4 linked regions of the Danio rerio genome follow. The protein of the gene in region 3 interacts with the protein of the main gene of each other region in a biochemical or structural test. Links are inferred from orthologs where the notes say so. Each region holds a gene or a part of one and is shown on either strand. Other genes may lie near its edges.

Region 1 (3,522 bases), on a different chromosome or scaffold from region 3:
ATATACCAACATGAAATTACAATTTTACTTGACACTTTAACGTTAATTTTCAACTTTTATGCACATTAATACCCACTGTATGTTAAATAGACAGACAGTCAACATAAATAGTTCACTTATATATTTATAAATCAGGGGTGTCCAAACTCGGTCCTGGAGGGCCGGTGTCCTGGAGAGTTTAGCTCCAACCCTAATCAAACACACCTGAACCAGCGAATCAAGCTCTTACAAGATATACTACAAACATCATGGCTGGTGTGTTGAGGCAAGTTGGAGCTAAACTATGCAGGACAATGGCCCTCCATGACAGAGTTTGGACACCCCTGATATAAATCATCTTTTACTTGCCCTTGTTTCAAACATTTATGAGTTTCTTTATTTCTGTTGAACACATAAGAAGATATTTTGAAGACACCTGGAAACGTTTGGAAACTGACTCCACAGTATTTGTTTTTTTTCTTCAATGAAAGTCAATGATTACGAGTTTTTATCTCTTCTTTTGTGTTCAACAGAGATCAAATGTCTTACAACAATCCATGCGAACGATAAACTCTAATATGATTAAACCTTTGTAGTAACTCCACAAATGATGTGCTCTGTGGTGCTAAAACCAACTATATATACAAATCAAAACGTGTGACTATTGCAGATGAGCACATTGCGACGTCAATAGTGAAACGATGTATTGTGCAGCCCTAATTGTTACTATATCATGTTTGACCATATTGCAAACCTCTGATGCAAGCATAAAGCAATGTTGTGCAACACAGTGATCAAGTTTCAGGAGGAGGCTGTGTTCTCGTTGAGCAATATAATCAGTTTAATAAGATAATAAGCTACAGTCATGTTCAAACAGGTCCACACATCAGGCCGAATGGGTCAAGCTGGTGGAAATGGACACAATCATTACATTAGCTAACAACAAAACACCACTGTTGATTAAATTCAAACCAAAAACACGTTAAAAAGCAAGCAAAGTCAAATAAAAACATGCAAAGATCATGCCGTATAATGTGTTTAACATTGCATTTGATGACTAATGATTTTTTTTTCGTATTATTAAAGCCATTTTCAGGCAATGTGAAAAAAACACAACTACATTTAGGTTTTAATCACACCAAACATGCTTTTTGCAATGATTTTTGAACATTTTTATATATATATATATGTGATTATATATATATATATATATATATATATATATATATATATATATATATATATATATATATATATATATATATATATATATATTGTCTTTATTGATTTTAGGAGCTTTTAATATGCACTTTAGAAATCAAAATTCAAAATACAAAAAAATAATAATAATAAATAATGATTTTTCAATAGTTTTTAAACCAGTTGCTTGCTGTTGCGTGCGTTTTTCCCATTAGTCAGTCATGTCTTTTTTCATTGTCCAATCAAATGAAAGCAGAGGCGGGTTTCTGCTGATCATTTATTGCATATTGTTTGTGTTGTCAAGTCGACAACGAAGACTTTTATAGATGGACAAGAGACTAGTGGCCGATGTTTCGAGTTATCCGGAGCTGTATGACTTCACAAATCGTGAATATCACAATATTTTTAATATATTACAATACCAGCAGCAGCGCCCGCGCACAATACGCAGCTGATTCAGTGGTTGCCTAGCAACATTAAATTCGCAGCACACTTATTTTTTTCTTGTCAACAAAAAGAGGCAGAGCGGTGCACCTCCGAATGCTTTCGATAAACATCGTCCCTTAATTTGTAAAAAATATACACAAATTAATAGTTTTCTGTATTTTGAGATTTATGTTTTCCTTTTCTTCGTTTTTTGAAGCTTTTGAAATGCATTGTGGGAAATTGATCTTTACTCCAACAGCTTTTGCTGTTAAGAAAGTTTTTAAAAAGTGTCGAAGTTGACATGTTTTGTAAGGCCCAATCCCAATTCTATTTTTGTACCCCTTACCCCTTCCCCTTGGCCCTTGTGTGAAGAAATGGGACACCACAACACCTCCGCACGTCATCATATGTCCTCGCGATCTGTAGCTTCATATGAGATTGATGATCATGACTGCTGTTGTTATTCCAGTTGAGTTATTTTTTGGTATTTATCTTCAGAGAATCACTGAAGGCAACGATATCATGTTATCATAACGATATAAAGGTGGCAATAAGCTCGTAACTGTACTGTGTATTTACACTGTGGTCATATTCATCTATGTAAACGCACCAAAAACAATATTAACATTATACCAGACACTGTAAAAGGGTCATTCCCAGCCACTACACTTTTCTGACAGGGTATTCAGGTGTCATCGAGTGACAGAATGTTGTGGGACATGCGCTTGTTTGTTGTAGAAATTCGTAAAACCGGATGGTGTTCACACTGTAAATGCATTGTTAGTGCAAAGTGAATGCTGATGTTGTGATTCATACCTGGGTTTGGTTGGAGATATTCTGTGGTTTTAGTTATGAGTTCAAAAACAGACTTGTTGGTGACTTCTATTTTCTGTAAAGGTGGGAAAAGATCATGTGGATAATGGTAAATATGCTTCTCACATACTGTAAATCACATTAAGAAAGAGGGGATCATTTGTGCAGTTCTCACCCGCTCCATTTCCATGAAGTCTTCATCGAGTTTCGTCCCTTCCGCACCACTGATCTTCTCACTTAATAACTACATAGAGAGAAAGAGAGAGAGAGATGGAGATATTAGATCAGGGACAGGAAGCAGTGATATTAGGCAATGTTTTCCTGTGCACACAATACAGTGGTCGGAAGAAAAAATAAATCAATAATGAGCTTCTATTGTGGCTTACAGTGAAGAAACGATACCCGACATCACAGATCCAAATTTAGCTTTTGTGTAAAGCCTGGTTTATACTTCTGCGTCAAGTGACCGGCGTAACCAACGGCGCATGCAACACGCGTAGCTGTGCATTTATACTTCTGCTCGCTGTCTGTTGGTCTGCATTAACACTTTCAAAACGCTAGTTGGCAGTGAGGTGTTAATGTGTCTCTGTGTCGAGTTTCTAGTTTATATTATATTATATTATTTTTTATTATTTTATATCATATTATTTTATATCATTTTATATTATATTATATTATATTATTTTTTTTTATTTTATATCATATTATTTTATATCATTTTATATTATATTATATTATTTTTAATTATTTTATATTATATTATATTATATTATATTATATTATATTATATTATATTATATTATATTATATTATTTTTAATTATTTTATATCATGTTATTTTATATCATTGTATATTACATTACATTACATTATATTATATTATTTTTAATTATTTTATATATAATTTTATATAATTTTATATTATATTATAATATATTATATTATATTATATTAGGTCCCACTTTATATTAAGTAGCCTTAACTAATATGTACTTACATAGGAATTAATAGTTTGCTACAATGTACTTATTGTGTAAATACATGTTTTTACTGTGTACTTTTGTTTGATTAAATACATGTTTGTAATTACATCTGTAATTAACT
Region 2 (3,522 bases), on a different chromosome or scaffold from region 3:
TCTTAAACTAAAACCCAGACTGACTCTCACCTCGCCCAAGGCCTTGACAGAATCTAGTGCCGTCCTCAGCCGACTACAGTCTGCCGCCCCCATAGACTCCTGCTCCTTGAGCTGGCAGAGCAGCGTCAGGGCCTCTGCGCCACACGCCTTCACGCTGTCTGCCAATGCTGCCCACAGACAAAAAGCAGAAAGCAGTCAGACTAGCCATCTGTCACCTGCAGACACTCCACATACGCTCCAACAGACACATTTGCTGCAATGAATGACATGATTGCATTGTGCACGTGGGCACAGCACATTAGTCGCTTTGAGTTATGCCATGCTCTTTAAAAGCAACTTGAAACCAAACCCCCAGACCCCCGGCGGCCAGTTATTAACAGAACCACAATGATTGGAATGACCCTTGTGATGTATGGAGAGCAACTTAAACAAAGTCAGTTTCTTGGACGTCTCTACGTGATAATACAGTGCGGTTTTAAAATATTTAGCATTTTAATTTTAGTGAGTGCAATTATGCTACTTATATCAAAAGGGTAGTTGACATAGCTCAAATGTGCTACAAGTATCATTTTGATAATAGACCTACACAAATTCTCACAACACATGCAAATACAGAAACATGCTGCAAATAGTACAGACCACAATAGAAATGTGTTGGGAGACCCCAAAAACTGACAAACTCAGCAGTTTTGTCATGAGTGTTGTCTTTAGATCTGAGAGGTGAGTTAATTCGTCAGATTACTAGAGCAAGCCAATAGACCTTTTTCTTAGAACGCAAAATTTCCCATTATGCTTTGCGTGTATGCGTAAGGAGGATGCTTGATGCGTAATGATCGCTTTGAAACGATAGTTTTAATCTACTTTACTTGCTTTGAACACTTTTGAACTGATACTGCTGTTGATCGGCGCCACCTCCTGGACTGATTATTTAAAAAATGAGATCCAATGGGATGGAAAACTGCTGCTAATCATTTACCCTTACCGCCAGATGGCATCTTGAGCTATTGAAATGGAGCCTTGTCATCGCAAAAGTGATCATTTTCAAATTTATAACAAACTCAAACAAATGTAATTCACCAAAATGTTGGACACACACACACACATACTTTCCCATTAACATATTGATTAAAAGACTATCACAAAGTAAAAATAAATTTTGAAATGACAGAAAAATACATACCATGGTAAATACTTGGGGTGTCAAAATAATTGTGTCTTTGGTGTGATGCAGATAAGGACAATTTGGTATGGTTCAGTAATGATCATAACTGGTTATTATGTACATCATTTATGAACATCATTTATCTCATATGCGCCATGTCGCCGTAGCTTACTATGGCGAGGGAGGCAAGCGCGAGTATTTAAAATGCTCCAACTTCTTAAAAACGCAGAAACTGTGCACAATTTCACTGCATGTGTGTTTGCTGGACATTCTTCCACTGACACTTACAGCAGAAGCCCCTATTTCACTGTGAATGAGAGAATGAAAGTAAACTCCATTTTACCTAGGTAACCTAACAAACCTACTTAAGCCTTTAAATGTTCCTTTAAGCTGTATCGAAGTGTCTTGAAAAATATATAGTAAAATAATATGTACAGTCAGTCATCATGGTAAAGATAAAATAAATCAGTTATTAGTAATGTTATAATAAAATAAATCAGTTATTAGAAAGATAAAATAAATCAGTTATTAGAGATAGTTATTAAAACTATTATGTGTTTAGAAAAGTGTTGACGACACTTTTCAGTACTTTAGACACTTAACAGCAAATTACACAGTTTTTCTAGCTTGAATGGATTCTGAGCTTATTTTTTAATAGCAGATGCTGCTGTATGCTTTACGAACAACCATACTCAGCTTGCATTCAGTTCCTTACAAATACCACTTAAACCTTTGCTAACTTAATGAATAATTATTTTTGGTTCAAGTGAATTACAAGTGTGTTTGAAGTTAGCTGTTTACGTTAACACCTGACATAAAAAAACAACTTTCTGAGAGCTTTTCATGAGAATTTCAGTGTATGATTAATGTTATAATTAAAAAACTAGCCTAGAAAGCCATCTGCTGTTAAAAACTAAGTACAGGTCCAAAAAAAAAATCGCTAAGTTTTTACCATTACTATGATATAGAATAGGGGAGATTTCAGACAGGAAAGCATTGGGAGCAGAGAGGGGAAGGATCGGCAAAGGACCTTGAGCTGGGAATCAAACTAGGGTCACCGGCATGAGCACTCTGCTATATACTGTATGTCAGAACACAGTACCTCTAAGCTATTGGCGCCAACCCAAATTCGATTTCTCAAAACTATTTTTCACCACAGCTTTATAAACAACACAAACATACTGTAAAGTTGACCAAACGTTACTCAGGCATAATCCCACGATGTGTGTTTAAATATTTTTGTTTAGCTGACCACCAAATGTTTACTACTTAAATTGACATTGCACTGGACTACCCACATGTAGATGTTTTACAATGGACAAATGCAGAAAAATATACGATGACATCATGAAAGGAGACTTCGTCGTTTACGACCAAGCAAATGATTACAGTAAATCCCACATAGACATGTGATGCTGTAATTTTTGCAAATATTGCTCAATGAAAGACTCGTCAAAGATATGAATGATGCAGTTCTACTCTATAGGTACTCGAGATTAACATGAGCTAGGCAGATACTGCCCTTTATATATTTTCGATAAAGCATTTGCATATAAATATGCATTCGTTTTGCATTTTGATGTGATTACATGATGTAAACCTGAATAGGAAGGTGTTGAAATGATAAATGTGTCATGCTCACCGTCAGCTTGCTCCACTGGCACCATGTGGGAGGTGGCGCTGCCCTGCACGATGACATCGCCCACCAGGTGAGCAAACTGAGTCACTGCCCGCACCAGTCCAGACACATCTGTTACACACAGACAGGAAAATCAGTGTTACAACAGGATCATATGAGCGTTTCTCATCTCAATTGAGGAATTAAGTGTCAACAAAAGTGATGAAACGAAGTCTGAATGCATTCATGGTGCTCAGGGCTTTACTGGTAAAGGATTTAGTTGTATATTTTTGAGCTAAATACAAAGCAAAAACAGGGAGTAGGAAAGTTTTCAGTAGTTGATGATAGCATGGCTGTTTTCAAAACTGTGTGGATTGTTCAATTTTTCAGATGTGTTAACTATTTTTCCCAACAGTCAGTGGCGTAACATTGCAAAATAACACATCATATATGTGTCACTATATGTATTGCACACCCTTACCAGCATAGGAGCTCAGACAACAGCCAGACTGTTTAGGACCACTTACTGATTCAGAACGTTTGTTTCATGATACACTTTGCTCAGACTGAGTGTAAAATTATCATTTAAACAATACTAAGGCCTAAAATGCTTTGGTTAGCAGTTTACAGCTTTTTTCTTTTTTTACAAAAATTGTCTGTGTTTTGGTAAAGTGTCTTTTACTGGGAAAAAAAAGCTTTTAAGCTATTATTAAATGACACCACCTTAAATTAGATTACTTTT
Region 3 (3,522 bases):
TAGATTATCGTGAAAAAATATCGCTTTAAGGGGCTAATAGTTTAGTCCCTAAAATGGTGTTTACAAAAATTAAAACTGCTTTTATTCTAGCTGAAATAAAACAAATAAGACTTTCTCCAGAAGAAAAAATATTATCAGACATACTGTGAAAATGACCTTGCTCTGTTCAACATCATTTGAAAAAAACAATGTTTAAAAAAGAAGAAAACAGTTTGAAGGGGGCTAATTATTCTGACTTCAACTGTATAAACTACAAACAAATCTAGATAAATAATGAAAAAGCCAGTAACATTTCTTTTAGTTTTATTTCTTCTTGAAATTCTTGATTACGTCCTGAATACACATAGAGAAGATAGATCCAGTTTATGGTGATCTTGATGGGTTTGTTTTTATTAGTCTTAGTCTTTTTGGCATAACTGTCCATGCAGCCCTGCCACATCCTTGTTTTTCAAGTAGCATTTCCTTTTTCTGCCGCAGCTTGTATCTTGTAGCTGTCAGTTTTTGATTGAGGGTAATTGGGGTGATTGTAACAGATGTACTAGATGTACTAGACCAGGGACGAGGGTTGCAAATTAGCTTTATGCTATATTCCCTATGTACACAACATCGGTTGACTTTGTAAAACAATGTCAAGTGTATTGTCTCTGTTAAATAAACAAGCAAAAAAAAAAATGAACAGAGGAAAAGACCACAAACAGATGAATATTCTTTCCCTATTTTCTCCAATTATATTCTGGATCTCTGGGCCTAGAAAAATAGCTGATTTTAAATTGCTAAACATACTGTAATGTATTTATTTTGACTCACTGTTCATTTCGAAGCTGTGACCAATAATTTTAGCCTTCTAGTGTTGTTAGCTATGTATTTAATTACACTGATTTGTTATCAGGACGTCTCCAGAGTTCCAGAAACTTCTTGGAATTGCCATGGAAATGTTCTTGCTGTGCAGCGATGACAAAGAGTCTGACGTCAGGATGGTGGCCGATGAGTGCCTCAACAAAATCATCAAAGTAACTCATTTGTAGTTTACATATCTGACATATATTCAATTGGATGATGATTGTAGTGGTGTTTTTTTTTTGTTTTGTTCAATGGTAATATAATTTCTTTGTTTATCTTTGCAGGCATTGATGGATTCCAACTTGCCTAGACTACAACTTGAACTGTATAAAGAGATTAAAAAGGTAAATCAGACTCAATAAACTTTTTGTAATGAATGTTTAATTTATTAGGAGTTCTTTTGTAAATGCATGTCAGTGTACTGAACTGGAGTTCTAGGATTACGTTGTGTGGCTGATTTATATTTAAGTTACATTTTTGTTGCACTTTTGTTGTTAATTTGCGATTTATCTGCAACAATATTTGATTATTTGATTGGTTTGATTATTGTTTTTGTTTTTAGTAAAATTTTTTGGGGGAAATGCTATAAACTTCACAGGCACATGAGTCTTGTGCTCTTTAAGTAAATGTACAGCTCACTAATGGATCACTTTACTGTGTGTGTGGTAACAGAACGCTGCCTCTCGGAGTCTGCGGGCAGCCCTGTGGAGGTTTGCAGAGCTTGCTCACCTGGTGCGTCCACAGAAATGCAGGTATGCTCAACTTTTGGTCACTTACTTCTAGTAGACTGGTCAGGACCCAATTATTGTGGAACATTGTGGGAACAATCATAGGACTAGCTCAAAACAAAGGAATGTAGTTTACTGCAAACGTGGAATTTGCCAAATTAAAGATAAATAAATTGAAAGTAGGGCTTCACTCTTAAATTGCAGTCTTGACTAGTGCTTGTTACTTTTAAATTTACTATGATCTTCTATGTGAAACTGCTTTGACACAATTTACATTGTGAAAGCGCTATACAAACAAAGGTGAATTGAATTGAATTGCATTGAATTTAAACAATGAAAAGACTTTTTAAATTTGATGTTGCAGAACAGAGTTCATTCCATAAGTATTTCATATTTTAATTTGAGAACGCATGACGTATATAAACAGAAACTGTTATTTTCAGAGTGTCAAAATAAAGGTTTGGTTTGGAGGTATTTTGGTTTTGGACTATTGTTCTGTTGAACGCACCCATTCATTCAAAGTAATTACAACAAAAAATGTTCAGAGATTTTATAGACTTAAAGGGATAGGTCACCCAAAACTGATTATTCTGTCATCATTTACTCACTTTTTTCTTGTTCCAAACCTGTTTGAGTTTCTTTCACCTGACAAACACAAATTAAATTTTTTGAAGAATGCTAAAACCTGTAACCATTGACTTCCACAGTAAGTAAACTAAGTAAACTATTCCCTACTATTTTCATATTTTCTAGATAAAATATTATATTTTGTGTTCAATGAACACTTGAGGAACATTAGATAGGGAATATATGTTCATTTTTGGGTGAACTGTCTCTTTATGTGTATTTTGTTTAACACAAAAAAAAAGCTGCAATTTATTTTTTACTTTTTCCATTAAAATGGAAATAAACCAAATTTTGTACTAGTATATGAATTTAAATACATATTTAGATTAAAGTTGAATTCCATTTGTATGTAATATTGTGGTGTTTATTCTACATGATTTATCTATGCACTTGATTATGTTTTTAAATATTAATGTGTCTTTATAATGTCTACCTTTCATGTGCCATTGGTCTTGTTGTCTGTCTTTATCTTGGTCATAGCAGGTAAATAGTTTGGTTTAAATAAATTTTCCTTCAATTGAACTCTTAAATTTTTAGCAACATAGGGCTCAAATAAAAATAAATAATAAAATAAAGCATGTGAAGGTGCCAGAGGTAAGTCGCTTTAGAGTAAACTGAGTATATTCAAATCTGCCTCAATTCTGCTGTATTTCCATTGATCAAGTCAGTTCCTGAAGAACATCACTATAGCGAAGAAAAAATCATTGCAACTTCTGTTTCATGCTGATCTTAAGCTGTGACATGCTTTTGATTGTAAAGATAAGCAAACACAATAAATCCTAACCCTCATTGTCACCTTTCCCAGGCCGTACCTTGTGAACCTGCTACCATGTTTGACACGAATCACAAAACGTCAAGAAGAGACTGTGCAGGAAACTCTCTCTTCTTCAATTCCTAAAATCATGGCTGCCCTCGGACACTTTGCCAATGATGGAGAGATTAAGGTATGAGCTGAAAAAGTAGCATTTCCCAAGGTTATCATGTGTTTACTTTATTTTAAATTTGGTCAAAGTAAAACATTTCAGAAGACCACATCAGGCGATTTGCAATAAAATGTACCTTGATTCAAAAGTCATTAGTCATTCTGGATGGCCTTATGTATTTGACATGAAAATAAGATTGCCTTGCTACTGAATTCTGTGATTTGGCACCTGAGTGAGGGATTTCCCTCACCGTTATCTTGACTGTCTGATCTGAAGCCGTAAATGCGCAGTGGTGACATCATCTCCTCAATATGGAACATGACTCACTCAGGCTGGATTTAATTATCCATGAGCCTCTTCTCCCTCGCATCAAGAGACGGAAAGAGTCTGTATTCTTGCCAAGA
Region 4 (3,522 bases), on a different chromosome or scaffold from region 3:
AAGAAAAAAATAATAATTTGACCCATCCCAAGTATTTTAAACATATAACATTCATACCTCTAGAACATGCATGAAGTCTTTGAATATTCTCTTCCTCTCGGACTCCAGCGTGATGTCTTCAAAAGCAGGCTCTTTTAGGAAGCGCTCTCGTACCTGACCCAGCATAATACACACACATCATTAGCAGAGCAATACTAATAGGCCAAAGGATCAAGTTGAGCTCATAACCAGGGGTGCACATCACTTTGTTTGGTCCAGTTATCAAAGTACCAGGAGATGTTGCTTAGGGTGTCACTACTAAACTGAAAAGGATGGGTGATATTTTATTTTTCTGCAATAAATACTGCGATATAAATAGCTTCACAAGAGCTTTATTGGACAGTTTTCTGAGATGTCTAACAATATTTAGGAACAGAAATTAAATAATCACAATGCAAACTTTGCTTTGTCTCGTTTCTAATCCAAATATTAAAAAAAATTAGAGCAGTAAAAATATTGAATCGAATATCTACCAATGAAGCAAGTAAAATATATTTGTTTTTCGCTTTGAAATGTAGATATTTGGACAAGAAACAAGACTTTTTTTTTTTTTTTGCAGAAATAGTATAAGTTGCTTGTAAATACAGTAATTAAATACAATTCTGTAGCTCCTGGTATTATAATTCAAACTCAACATTGCATATCTTGCAATGTTACTAATGCAGATGTGCACATAGATATATCAATGCTGAAGCGATTTATTGTGCAGCCCTAGTGAAAAGGGTGACAGAGTGCATAGGGCACTGGCAATTTAGAGTCCCTGTGGTGGGCAGTGTGGAAGGCGAGACGATCCATACATGATAAACAGCAGCTCACATCCGTCATTTGGTGTGATAGGAACACATATCATGATACACATGTTGTTGCAAGCGCAGCAACTCCATCCATGCCCACAGAGACCAACTTTATTTTACATTCTTCTTCCAAATAAGAGTCTACATACAGTGCTATGAGCTGCGCAATTTGAATCGCAGCAAAATTAAATAAGTATGCACCAAAATTAAAATTGAGCCAAAAATAAAAATTCCTGATGCACTCGAAAAAGAAAATGCTGTTATAATTAATTATTACTTTTTTTTTTACAATTTTCTTGGCCGATTTCAATTTCTTGTATTAAGTTAAGTGTGTCTTGTCAAGACCAATTACTGTTTTTTTTTTTTTTTTGTACAGATTTAAAAAATAAACTCAAATAAAAGTTTTCAACATTTTAAATTGTAAAAAAAAAAAAAATACATTATTAAATTAATAGTATTCCCCAAACTGCAACATCACCAGGAAAAGGTTTAATTTTCCACGGACTTCAACTTTTTTTGGTTATAATTTTACTGCTTTAAGATTTGTATTGTTATTTAGAGATACTGTTATTTAGATATTTATTGATATATCTAAACAAAAAACATTTGCTGACAATTTAATCATGACTATTTAGTAGAATTCTTTACTCACGCATATTTTTAATACAATCAATAATGATCTCAATTACATTCTAACCATGATGTCTGTCACCATTCTTGCTGTCGGTTAACTATGCTAGTGGTCGTTTCAAGCTAAGGGAAAACAATCCCTGTTGATATGTTTTTGCACTTCTGCTGCTGAACAGTGAAAGACAAGAGAGGCAGCTCTTCTTTGTAAGTTACTTTACCTGACATGGAGCGGTTCAGTTTGAATGGCAGGGTGTGTAATATGACGCAATAGTAAACAACTAAGGCAATCATGATACCAAATGACAAACATAGTGCTGCTGTTACACACTGAAGAACAATTACAGTGATGACATGTTATCATGCGGCTGTGAGATCTACAGAGCCAAATACTAAGCTACTTTGCTTTCTACATCTAGTATTTTTCTCTGAAAATGGTCACTGAATTTTACTCATATTTTTATTTTTCAACAGGAACCCATAAATGCCCTTATTAGATGATAATTCTCAGCAGCCGAAAATTTGGAAAAATCTGTGAAATTTATGAAATCGGGTACAGAAAAGTACTTCTCTAGCTGCGCATCTTATCTTATGTGCACCCCTGTATGAAACTGTTGTATAGTAATGTAAAGTGTGACATACTCCCTCCCACGTGGCCTCGGGCTCTAGAGGGGGTGTGGCCTGTTTTAACATGCTCTTAAACGCCGCTTCCTTCCTCTTCATCTTTCTGGCCTCCTCTTTTTCTCTCTCCCGCTCTCGTGCTTCAGCCTTCTCGAGCAACTGAAAACACAAACACATCAAAAGTTATACGTTATACGTATACATTAAACGTGGCTGATGTCATGGGCTAAGTAAAATAAGCTTACTCCTAAGAGAAGACAAGTTTATTTCGCTTACCCCAGAGGAAGATTATTTTACTTGTTTTAAAAGAAAAACTCACTTTATTTTGACTTACTATTTCTGTAAACAAGACAATTTTTTTGCAAGGAAACTGGGATTAACAATTAGTTTTTTAAGTTTAAAAGATTTGTAAAACTACATGTTTGTAATAAAGTAAAATTGAGTAAAATAAAGTAAAAATAGAGTAAAATCGCCATGTAACCACTTCGCTGCTATACACCACTGCTATAATCACCACGGCCACACGGCGCATGTGTTTGTGTGTGTAATGAAAACAGCATTTGTGTGTGACTCATCATTTCAGAAAGGCTTGAATAAGCTCCACCACAAATACATCAAATAAACTTATTTGGTATTTTTGACTAGTAACCTCATTTCAGCTTCATCAGTGTCTGTCTCTGTCACTGACTGCCGTTTATCTGACGTAACGCATGAAAAGCAGACATGCACATCGGAGCGGTGGGCGGGGAGAAGCAGCTCATTTGCAGTTAAAGGCTACAAAAAAACTGCTCTATTGTCCTCAGACACTAAAATGGGCAGATGCTACAGTACATGATAAATAATCTGATGGGTATTTTGAGCTGAAACTTTACAGACACATTCTGGAGGCACAACGTCTTATCTTACATCTTGTAAAAGGGGCAAAATATGTGCTTTTCAAATGCCGTCAAGTAGTTAAGAAGCCACAATTTGATACAAATTACAAAGAACCTACCAATTGGATTTTTGGCTGTTTTAGGAAAAAGGACATTAAATGGAGAGACAGAAATCACTCAGGTATCATAAAAAATATTTATATATTTGGGTTTGGAAAAAAGAAAATCTTAGGTTTGAAACAACATGAGGACATTAAGAAAATATTTACATTTCTGAATTACAAATGATACATCATATTAAAGCTTTGCTATTGTCAGATAACATTGACAGTATGTTTTGTACAGGTGTACAGAAACTCAAATCTGAAATCATCAGTGGAATGTTACACCACTAGTGTTACATCAGAGAATGTTTAACATTTAACTCAATTGTAAATTCAATTAACTCAAACATTAGTTATTTATCGTATAAATCTTTGAATGCTTGTATATTTGAGTCTTGAATATAAATTGAATTACTATTTTTGTTGGTTTTTAGGCTTATAGCATTGACAAACGGATCACCA

Evidence for each region. The genes of interacting proteins can lie anywhere in the genome.
Region 1: the proteins of htt (region 3) and sh3gl3a form a complex in vitro, tested with the Homo sapiens proteins (2 studies listed by BioGRID and IntAct, with this or other methods). The link is inferred for Danio rerio from reciprocal best matches to the Homo sapiens genes HTT and SH3GL3.
Region 2: the proteins of htt (region 3) and hip1 form a complex in vitro, tested with the Homo sapiens proteins (2 studies listed by BioGRID). The link is inferred for Danio rerio from reciprocal best matches to the Homo sapiens genes HTT and HIP1.
Region 4: the proteins of htt (region 3) and prpf40a form a complex in vitro, tested with the Homo sapiens proteins (2 studies listed by BioGRID and IntAct, with this or other methods). The link is inferred for Danio rerio from reciprocal best matches to the Homo sapiens genes HTT and PRPF40A.

Annotation. Positions count from the first base shown.
Region 1 is NC_133182.1:12,829,418-12,832,939, forward strand, and holds part of sh3gl3a (endophilin-A3a), read right to left. Parts: intron 2,663-3,522; coding exon 2,594-2,662; intron 2,495-2,593; coding exon 2,422-2,494; intron 1-2,421. UniProt on the Homo sapiens protein: Implicated in endocytosis. May recruit other proteins to membranes with high curvature.
Region 2 is NC_133190.1:19,379,282-19,382,803, forward strand, and holds part of hip1 (huntingtin-interacting protein 1), read right to left. Parts: intron 2,913-3,522; coding exon 2,805-2,912; intron 168-2,804; coding exon 31-167; intron 1-30. UniProt on the Homo sapiens protein: Plays a role in clathrin-mediated endocytosis and trafficking. Involved in regulating AMPA receptor trafficking in the central nervous system in an NMDA-dependent manner. Regulates presynaptic nerve terminal activity.
Region 3 is NC_133176.1:44,454,644-44,458,165, reverse strand, and holds part of htt (huntingtin), read left to right. Parts: intron 1-889; coding exon 890-1,010; intron 1,011-1,124; coding exon 1,125-1,184; intron 1,185-1,512; coding exon 1,513-1,592; intron 1,593-3,000; coding exon 3,001-3,139; intron 3,140-3,522.
Region 4 is NC_133184.1:4,717,601-4,721,122, reverse strand, and holds part of prpf40a (pre-mRNA-processing factor 40 homolog A), read right to left. Parts: intron 2,241-3,522; coding exon 2,103-2,240; intron 154-2,102; coding exon 58-153; intron 1-57.